Linked DNA regions of Macaca mulatta. The protein of the gene in region 1 purifies or fractionates together with the protein of each later gene. This does not show direct contact. Links are inferred from orthologs where the notes say so. Each region holds a gene or a part of one and is shown on either strand. Other genes may lie near its edges.

The links. Proteins that work in one complex are often made in the same cells at the same time.
Region 2: the proteins of SNX33 (region 1) and DNM2 purify together in Homo sapiens (co-immunoprecipitation; 3 studies listed by BioGRID and IntAct, with this or other methods). This does not show direct contact. The link is inferred for Macaca mulatta from reciprocal best matches to the Homo sapiens genes SNX33 and DNM2.

What each region holds. Positions count from the first base shown.
Region 1 is NC_133412.1:53,690,165-53,694,399, reverse strand, and holds the start of SNX33 (sorting nexin-33), read right to left. Parts: upstream 2,850-4,235; 5' UTR 2,760-2,849; coding exon 1,289-2,759; intron 1-1,288. UniProt on the Homo sapiens protein: Plays a role in the reorganization of the cytoskeleton, endocytosis and cellular vesicle trafficking via its interactions with membranes, WASL, DNM1 and DNM2. Acts both during interphase and at the end of mitotic cell divisions.
Region 2 is NC_133424.1:11,453,873-11,458,196, reverse strand, and holds the start of DNM2 (dynamin-2), read right to left. Parts: upstream 2,830-4,324; 5' UTR 2,653-2,829; coding exon 2,492-2,652; exon of another isoform or gene 2,392-2,491; intron 1-2,391. UniProt on the Homo sapiens protein: Catalyzes the hydrolysis of GTP and utilizes this energy to mediate vesicle scission at plasma membrane during endocytosis and filament remodeling at many actin structures during organization of the actin cytoskeleton.

The DNA.
Region 1 (4,235 bases):
GACATGTTTCCTGTTCCCCAGGCTCAGTCCAGAGGTCTGCCTCCTGGCCCCACCCAGAGTCAAACTCCCCACCAAGCCAGGCCTGACCTCAGGGCCCAAGGGCCAGGGAGCCAGCTCCACGCCCTGCATACGAGTTACCCAGCAGCCCCAGGGAGGATCACACCTCTCTCCTGACATCTGCCCTCCTAGCTGTCCCCAGGACTCAGGTACCTGCTGGGGCAGTCACTGGCTGTCTCCTCAGGCAAGAAGAGAAGCCAGGCTTGGGAAGCAGGAGTTGGATAGGCCATGTGGGCAGTGCCCTGGACCCCTGATTCCGCAGCCTGGTCCAGCCAGGGTGCCCCTGTGTGACCCAGGATGAGTCATTTCCCCGGCAGTTCCTTGACAGCCCCAGCAGTAACAGGCAGAGGCCCATCCTGTCCCTCCCCCACGGAGGGGGTCATGACAACTGAAAACACGGCTAGGCTTGGGAAGCGGCCAACATGGACGTGTCCTTGGGGAGGTAGCAGGAGGAAAGGACAGTCCCAGCCGGGCCACAGGCTGTGCAACCACTCTTCTGTGGACACTAACTCCTTCATCCGCAAAATGGGGACAGGGATCTTCCTGCACACAGACAAGACGCTCATAGAGAGAATACACAGTGGTGAGAGTAACTTGCAAAGCTGCAAAGGTGGGGAGGTGAACTTGCAAGGGGCAGAAGACAGGCCCCCACTCTGAGCTCTTGTTATCTGGGTTGGGTCTCTGTCTCCCAAGGGCCTACCGGCTCCTCCAGGGCAAGGCCTGGGGCCCGGTCATCTGTGTGTTCTCAGAACCCAGCATGACACCATGCATGATGGGTAAATGAGATCCAGAGAAAATGAATGAATTGACAAGAAGGTAAATATCAAGCTCCATGAGGACAGAGACCAGGCCTGTGCACAACAATATTCCTGTACCTAGAAGCACATTTGCACAGATACAGAGTTGATACTCAACATGTTTGTTTGTTTGTTTGTTTGTTTTAGAGACAGGGTCTCACTCTGTCACCCAGGCTGGAGTGAAGTGGCACAATCGGGCTCACTGTAGTCTCAACCTCCTGGGTCCAAGTGATTGATCTTCCTACTTCAACCTCCCAAAGTGCTGAGATTACAAGCATGAGCCACCATGCCCAGTCCAACACATTTGTTAAATGAATGATTGAGACAGAGAAATAAAGATAAGTTGCTCCATTCTATCCAGGCCATCCCCATCTCCCCAGGGCCCAGCAGAGAGTCAGACTCAGGATGGGTTTCCTGCCTGCACTGGGTCTTACCTTTCTGTAGGTGGATGATGTCAGGGAAGTTAGAGAGCAGGCCCTGGTAGAGAGACAGTGTGTCCAGCATCTGGAAGAGGTCATTCTTGGGCTGCTCAGCAAACATCTCCCCGATGGCTTCATAGGTACGGCCCGTGTGAGAAATGGCACTGTTGAGGGCCTCAGAGCAAAAAGGGGGGTCCATCTGGAAGGAATGACTGATGGCCTGGAAGGCACTGCCCAGCTTCTGGAATTCCTTGCGGAAGCCCCCCACGTGTTTACGCACCAGCTCTGACGCCACGGTGCTGAGCTGCAGGACACTGTCGTCCATCTTCTTACTGAAGGCCTTGAAAGTGTCCACGCGATCTTCCACGTCCTGCAGGTCCTGGTGCTCGGTGGGGATCTGGAAGGTGAGCAGGAAGCTGGCACCCACCATCTCATCCTTCTCCGCCCGGCGTTTGCCCATCTTCCACTGCTTGTCATCTAGGCAGCTAAGGAAATGCTGGAAGCCTTCGTACTGGGAGAGCACAGGGTGGCTGGTCATGTGGTCCATCCAGAGGATGAGTCTCCGCTTCCGCTTTTCAATGAAGTCCTCCTCGAAGCGGCCTGTGGCCTGCTTCTCAGGCAGGTGGGGCACTGAGATGACAGTGAACTTGTGTAGCAGGCGGTTATAGAGCCAGTCAAAGTGTTTGTAGCGCCGGTAGACAGGTGAGGCAGCATGGGTGGGTGTGAGCTTGTAGGAGATGTAGCTTTTGATGCCCTTGAACTTGGTCTGTTTTGTGGGGTCCTCCACAGAGCAGGCAAATGGGTGGGGGTTGGCCTTCCACTGGGGGCCACGAGGGCCCATTTCAATGGAGTATGTCTCAGCGATCTTGGCCATCATGGGCACATCACCTAGGATGAAGGCCTCCACTCCAGAACGCACAAAGCATGAGAAACGGTTGAGGTTACGGCCCACCACACTGCCTCGCTTGGCAGATGCCAGGCTGTCCTGCCGCTCCAGTGGTGGCTTGGGCCGGAAGGCCATGTGCTGGCTGGGGTAGGCACCAGGGTAGGAGAGGTTGAGGGGAGGGTGCCCATTGGTGCCCAGCCCACCAGCCCGTGGCTCCTCCACCACTGTGCATCCATCGTCCCAGTCATCCCAATCATCATCATCATCCTCCTCGAAGCTACCCTGGTTTGAGAGGAAGCCACTGCCCCCACCACTCCTAGCTGGGTTGGCCACACTGGGGCTATTGTACAAGCTCACGTGGGCCCCCGGAGAGCCTGCAGGGCTGCTGGAGTAGTCAGCATGGTTGGTGCTGATGCCAGAACGGACGATCTCCACGTAAGAGGCAGGAAAGAGCCCTGTCTCCCCACGGCTGTTCTGGCCCTGCAGCCAGCCATCCAGTGAGATCTCGCTGAAGATGACCAGGTCCTCATCCTGCTGGATGCTGATTTCCTCCTTGTTCTCACTGTGAAAGTCATAGAGGGCTCGGCCTTTCAGTGCCATGGTTGGGCTGGGTGGTACAGACAGATGGGAAGGAGAGGGTCCTGTCCAGACCCGGGATGCTCACAAGGAAGTCCAAGAATGCACTCGCAGCTGAATGGCGCTTACACAGTTCAATCTCTCAGGTCCTAAGGTGGGGTCTCAGCACCCACAGATGCTGTCCAATCTCCTGCTCTTCAAAGCAATGTCCACGGCCCAGAAACTGCCCTATCAGGTCTCCGGGCATATGCTTGTGAGCAGGGAGGGCTCATGTCCATAGCCTCCTCCCTTAGCAGCCCCTGGGGGATTAGAGGGGAGTCTCTCCTAACTCCTACTCCCAGAAGAAAAGTCAAGTGACCTGGAGAAATCTGCCCTGGAGGGGAAAAATTCGACACTTTCCACTGGAACAACGTTCTAAAATAGAAGAGACTCACTCGGAAACCACCATTCCAGAAACCCAGGCAGGGCTCGGCTGTCCCTCTGGCTCCCAGATTCTTTTGGCCACTCTCGCTTTGGGAGGCTCTCACATTCCTCTGCAGATCTGCCCCTTCCTCCTTCCTCCTCCTCTTGCTCCTGGGCCACTGGGTTTTCAAATATCCGGAAAATCCAAGAGGGGCAAGGAGAAAAGCAGCAGCCTCCTGAATCGAGTCCAAGGGTGGATGTGTCCGGCTTCACAACGAGCCAGGCCGGGAAAACAAGGACTGAGGCTTACACAACAGGCCGCCAACTCTTCGACCCCGGCTGCGCAGCCGGAGCCCCCGCCGGCTCGGGCGCCCTCTCCCCGCCCCAGAAGTGGCCAGTCCCAACCCCGGAGGAAGGAGGGGGCGCGACGAGGCGGTCGGGCGACTTCTGGCCAGTCGCTGAGTGGTCTCTTTTGTTTGCCTAATTCCTCAGCAGTTTCTGAGACTGACGCTGACCCTGCTCTGAATCCCAGGAACCCCGTCCAAAGGTAACCCCAGCAGAAACCAGTTCCTCACCCGGGACTTACGACCCCCGACCCCCACCCTCGCGTGCACGCACACACTCAACAGTTTGGAGTTTGGAGAGTGAGCTCCGGCGAGCAGATGGCGCGGCTGGCCGTCTGTCCGTCCGTCCTCCGCTCCGCCCTGCGGGGCCCGGCCAGTGGGGGGCGGGCTGCGCCCCCAGCCTGCCTTCCCCTGCGCTCGCAGACCCTCCGCGCCGCCAGCGAGAAGGCAGCTCCAAAACAAAAACGCGATTCCGGGAGGTGGCGTCCCGAGGAAGGAGGGGATCGCCAAAGGGGAGGTGAGGGGTGGGGAGAGGGAGGAGGGAGGGGGAAGCAGGCTGGAGAATCGGGCAAACTCCGCTGCACTTCCGTGCGTCCCGGCGGGGCAGGGACGGCCAGCTCCGCCCTCCCGCGGGCCCGGGGCGCTGCAGCCGAGCCCCCGCCTACTCCTCCGCGCGGCTTCCCATCTGGCCAGTGCCCTCGCTCAGTCCCGGGCAAGAGGGAGGAAACGACCCGGGAACGAGGGAGCCCGAGAG
Region 2 (4,324 bases), on another chromosome or scaffold:
AGGATCTGGTTCTGTCACCCAGGCTGGAGGGTAATGGTGCGATCACAGCTCACTGCAGTCTGGACATCCTGGGCTCAAGCAATCCTCCCAGGGCCAGCCTCGTGAGTTGCTTGGACTACAGGTGTGGGACTACTACCCTACCTGGCTACTTGTTTTATTTTTTGTAGAATGGTGTCTTGTCATGTTACCCAGGCTGGTCTTGAACTCCTGGGGCCCGACCTGGTGGCTCACGCCTGTAATCCCAGCACTTTGGGAGGCCAAGGCGAGAGGATCACTTGAGGTAAGGAGTTCGAGACCAGCCTGGCCAACATGGTGAAACCCCGTCTCTACTAAAAATACAAAAATTAGTTGGGCATGGTAGTGGACGCCTGTAATCCCAGCTACTCGGGAGGCTGAGGCAGGAGAATCGCCTGAATCTGGGAGGCAGAGGTTGCAGTGAGCCAAGATCATGCCACTGCACTCCAGCCTGGGAGACAGAGCGAGACTCTGTCTCAAAAAAAAAAAAAAAAAAAAAAAAACTTGTTTAGGAGTGTCAACCAAGACTTAGACCAAGACAACCTGTGCAAGGTCACAAGGCATGTGAAAGAGACAGAGCTTTGCAAACACTGTGGTAAGACAGAAGGCAATGAGCCAGAGACAAGGTAGCAAAGGAGGAAATTCGTGCTGCTGGGAGGAAAGCCCCAAGGCTCTGGGATAGCAGACACAAGGCTTTACGCCAGCCTGGTGGCCTTGGGTGAACACAGTTCCTTCTAAGCCTCCCAGCTCAGCTAACGTGGGGATGGTAACACAGCCTCCACCCCACTCCTTACTTGGGATTCAAGATGTTGAATCAAGAAAAACATTATCCCTTGACACTGATAAAAACAATAACAGGCCGGGCGCGGTGGCTCAAGCCTGTAATCCCAGCACTTTGGGAGGCCGAGACGGGCGGATCACGAGGTCAGGAGATCGAGAGACGATCCCGGCTAACACGGTGAAACCCCGTCTCTACTAAAAAATACAAAAAAATAGCCGGGCGAGGTGGCGGGCGCCTGTAGTCCCAGCTACTTGGGAGGCTGAGGCAGGAGAATGGCGTAAACCCGGGAGGCGGAGCTTGCAGTGAGCTGAGATCCGGCCACTGCACTCCAGCCTGGGTGACAGAGCAAGACTCCGTCTCAAAAAAAAAAAAAAAAAAAAAAAACAATAACAATGACAATAATGACAGGAGGAGGATGTTATCATTTGGCAGCCACACCACTACAAATGAGTAGTTCCTGGAATGGAGAAGTGGCCGCCCATCTGGGAGACAAGAAAGGCAAGAGGGGTTGGTGGGAGGGAGAGGTGGCTGCACGGGCTGTTCTCATTCATTTGCTTCCTGAATCCTGGAAACAGCCCAGAGAGTGGAGTCTGCCCACTGGACAGATGGGCACACCGCGGCTTCTCAGGGCTGTCCAGAGAAGGCTACATCCCAGGGCTAGCCACTGAGGCCTGGTCACGCGAGAAGACCCTTCCCAGGCTCCAAAGGAGGGCCCCCAATTGGCAGGCTGTAGCTGGGAGGCGGGCCCTGTGTTCTAGCACCCTGAAAGGAATCCTGAAGTAAGGTACCCCCAGGGTCCTCCTTCTAGCTGACAGGGGAAGTAGGGTTCAAACCTCATCCTTCAGCTGTATTCTCCCCTCTACCCTCCTGCCACCCACTTCCAGAGGCGCTGGGCCAGACACTCAGGGGTAGTCATGCGCAGAACAGGAGATGGCCAGACAGACAGAAGAATGACGGAAGAGAGGACCAGCTCTAGGCAGGGACTAAGCTCTAAGAGTCAGCCTGAGAGAATCAAACAGGGTCCCCTAGGAGTCAGCTAGCCAGTCAGACAGTGGAGGCCAGCTGGTGTCACCCAACAGAGGGACTGCTCAGTGTTAAAGTCTGTGAGGGGCACGGATGGGCGGCCAGACAGCAGAGGTCACCCTTTACAGCTAGCCAGACAGCAGGGGGCTGCCAGGTGGGACTGGACAGATGGACAACCAAATGGTTGTGGCAGGGAGGCTTGCCCAGGACAGAGAGACAGCCAACCAGATGGCGGGGGCAGCTCCAGATACAAGAACAAGCCAGCCAGACCGCAGGGGTCGCCCCAGTAGATATCTAGATGGCCGGTTTCACCTCTGATAAACAGCCCGAAAGAGCAGAAGAGGGATCTACCCCAGACCCACGGGCAACCAGACGGCAGAGTTCACCCACGAAAGCTGGGACCAGATGGACCGCAGGATTCCAGCACACCTCCGGTCCTACGGCCCCCCGGCCCATGACGCCGCCCCTGGGGCCCAGGCCCGCTCCCGAGCCCCTGCAGGGAGTCCTCTGCCCAGGGCGTCCCACAGGGCCCGCCTCCCCGACCCCGTCCGGTTCCCCGCCGCCGGCACGCAAGCGCCGCAGTTACGCCGGCGGCGCAGGGAGCGCCATTCCCGGTCCGCCCTCCGCGCCCTAGGCCGCCGCCCGCCCGCGATCCCTGCCGCGCCCGCTTACCGGCCCACGAAGTTCTCCAGCACCGAGCTCTTGCCGGCGCTCTGGCCGCCCACCACAGCGATCTGCGGCAGGTCCAGGTGGCAGCTCTGGCCGATGGAGCTGAAGGCGTCCTGCAGCTTGTTGACCAGCGGGATCAGCTCTTCCATCCCGCGGTTGCCCATGGCGCCGGCGGCCCCCGGCCCGAGCGCCCTGCGCTCCCCGCCGCCGCCGACCCTCAACGACCTGGCCCCGCGGCGTCTGTAGCCGTTGCTCTCCGCCCGCCCGGGCCTCGGCAAGACGCCCGCTCCCGGCTCGGCCTCACGGTCGCCGCCTCATCCGGTTCTCAGGCTACACCCGACCCAAGCGACCTCCCGCCCCGGCCCCAGGGCTGCGCACAAATCACTCGCGCCGCACGCGATTGGCCTGCTGCGCCGCCACTCGGGCACACTAGCCAATAAAAACGAGGCACAAGCCAATGGTTGAGTAAACCTTCCCCCTGAGGACCGTCTTGCTGGTTTATTGGACAAAAGAACCGTCACTGTTGTGCAAAAGCCAATAGCGGCAGAAAGCAAGTTGTCAAGAGAGGAAGGAGGTGTTTCAGAAAAATGCACTTTGGCTCCGCCCATTGGCGAGGTTACACCATCTTATTGGCAGGCAGACGTGCCAGTCGACAATGTGGACCAATGATGTTAGGGATTGAGCTACTACCTAGTTCCCTAAGAATTTCCCATTGGTTCATATAAATATCACTTCGTTGCTCCAGCCAACCAGGCAAAAGAGGGCGGGGTGTAACATCCGAATCTTCACTATGATTGAGAACCATATCTGTCAATCAGAAAAACTCGCGTTCTTCCCCTGTGATTGTTGGATATCTGCAACAGTCTTCTGAAGTACAGGATAGGTGCCACCGTACTCGCTCAAGGGCGACACCTCGTGGTGGGATCCGATGTCTCGATTTTTGAGTTTCCTGGCTCTGGGGAAAACTACAAGTCCCAGAACGCATCTCAGTGCCCAGACTGCAAACCAACTCTGGGACCAGGGTCCCAATGCACTCTGTAAATGGGTAAGGCCAAGTCATTGCTTCCCAGAGACAGAACGCAGTAAAATCACTCCTCCTCCACGCCTTTGCAAATACTGTGCCCTTTCTGCTCACGCCCGATCTTGACGCCGCTAACGCTCCAAAGTTTTTTCCCCGGCTTCTTCAACTTTAGCAGAGCATGAATCTTTTTTTTTCTCTTTTTGAGACGGGGTTTCACTCTGTCACCCAGGCTAGAGTGCAGTGGCGCGATCTTGGCTCACTGCAACCTCTGCCTCCCCAGTTCAAGCAATTCTCCTGCCTCAGCCTCCCGAATAGCTGGGATTACAGGTGCACGCCACCACACCCAGCTAATTTTGTATTTTTAGTAGACAGAAAGGGTTTCACCCTATTGGCCAGGCTGGTCTCGAACGCCTGGCCTCAAGTGATCTGCCCATCTTGGCCTCCCAAAGTGTTGGGATTACAGGCGTGAGTCACCGCGTCTAGCCAATGAATCTTCCTTTCCTAGAGACTGGGTCTTGCTCTGTTGCCCAGGCTGGAGTGCAGTAGTGGACTCATAGCTCAATTCAACAAGCACTTGGGCTCAAACGATCCTCCCGCCTCAGCGTCCCAAGTAGCTGGAACCACAGGCATGCCCTGAGTCAACTATGCCCAGCTAATTATTTTTATTTTATTTTTTATAGAGACAGGGTCTTGCTGTGTTGTCCAGGCTGGTCTCAAACTCCTGGGCCCAAACGACTGTCACAGACCAGCCTCCCAAAAGTGCTGGGATTACAGGTGTGAACCCCCCAACTGGCTTTGGATCTTTTTGAACACCC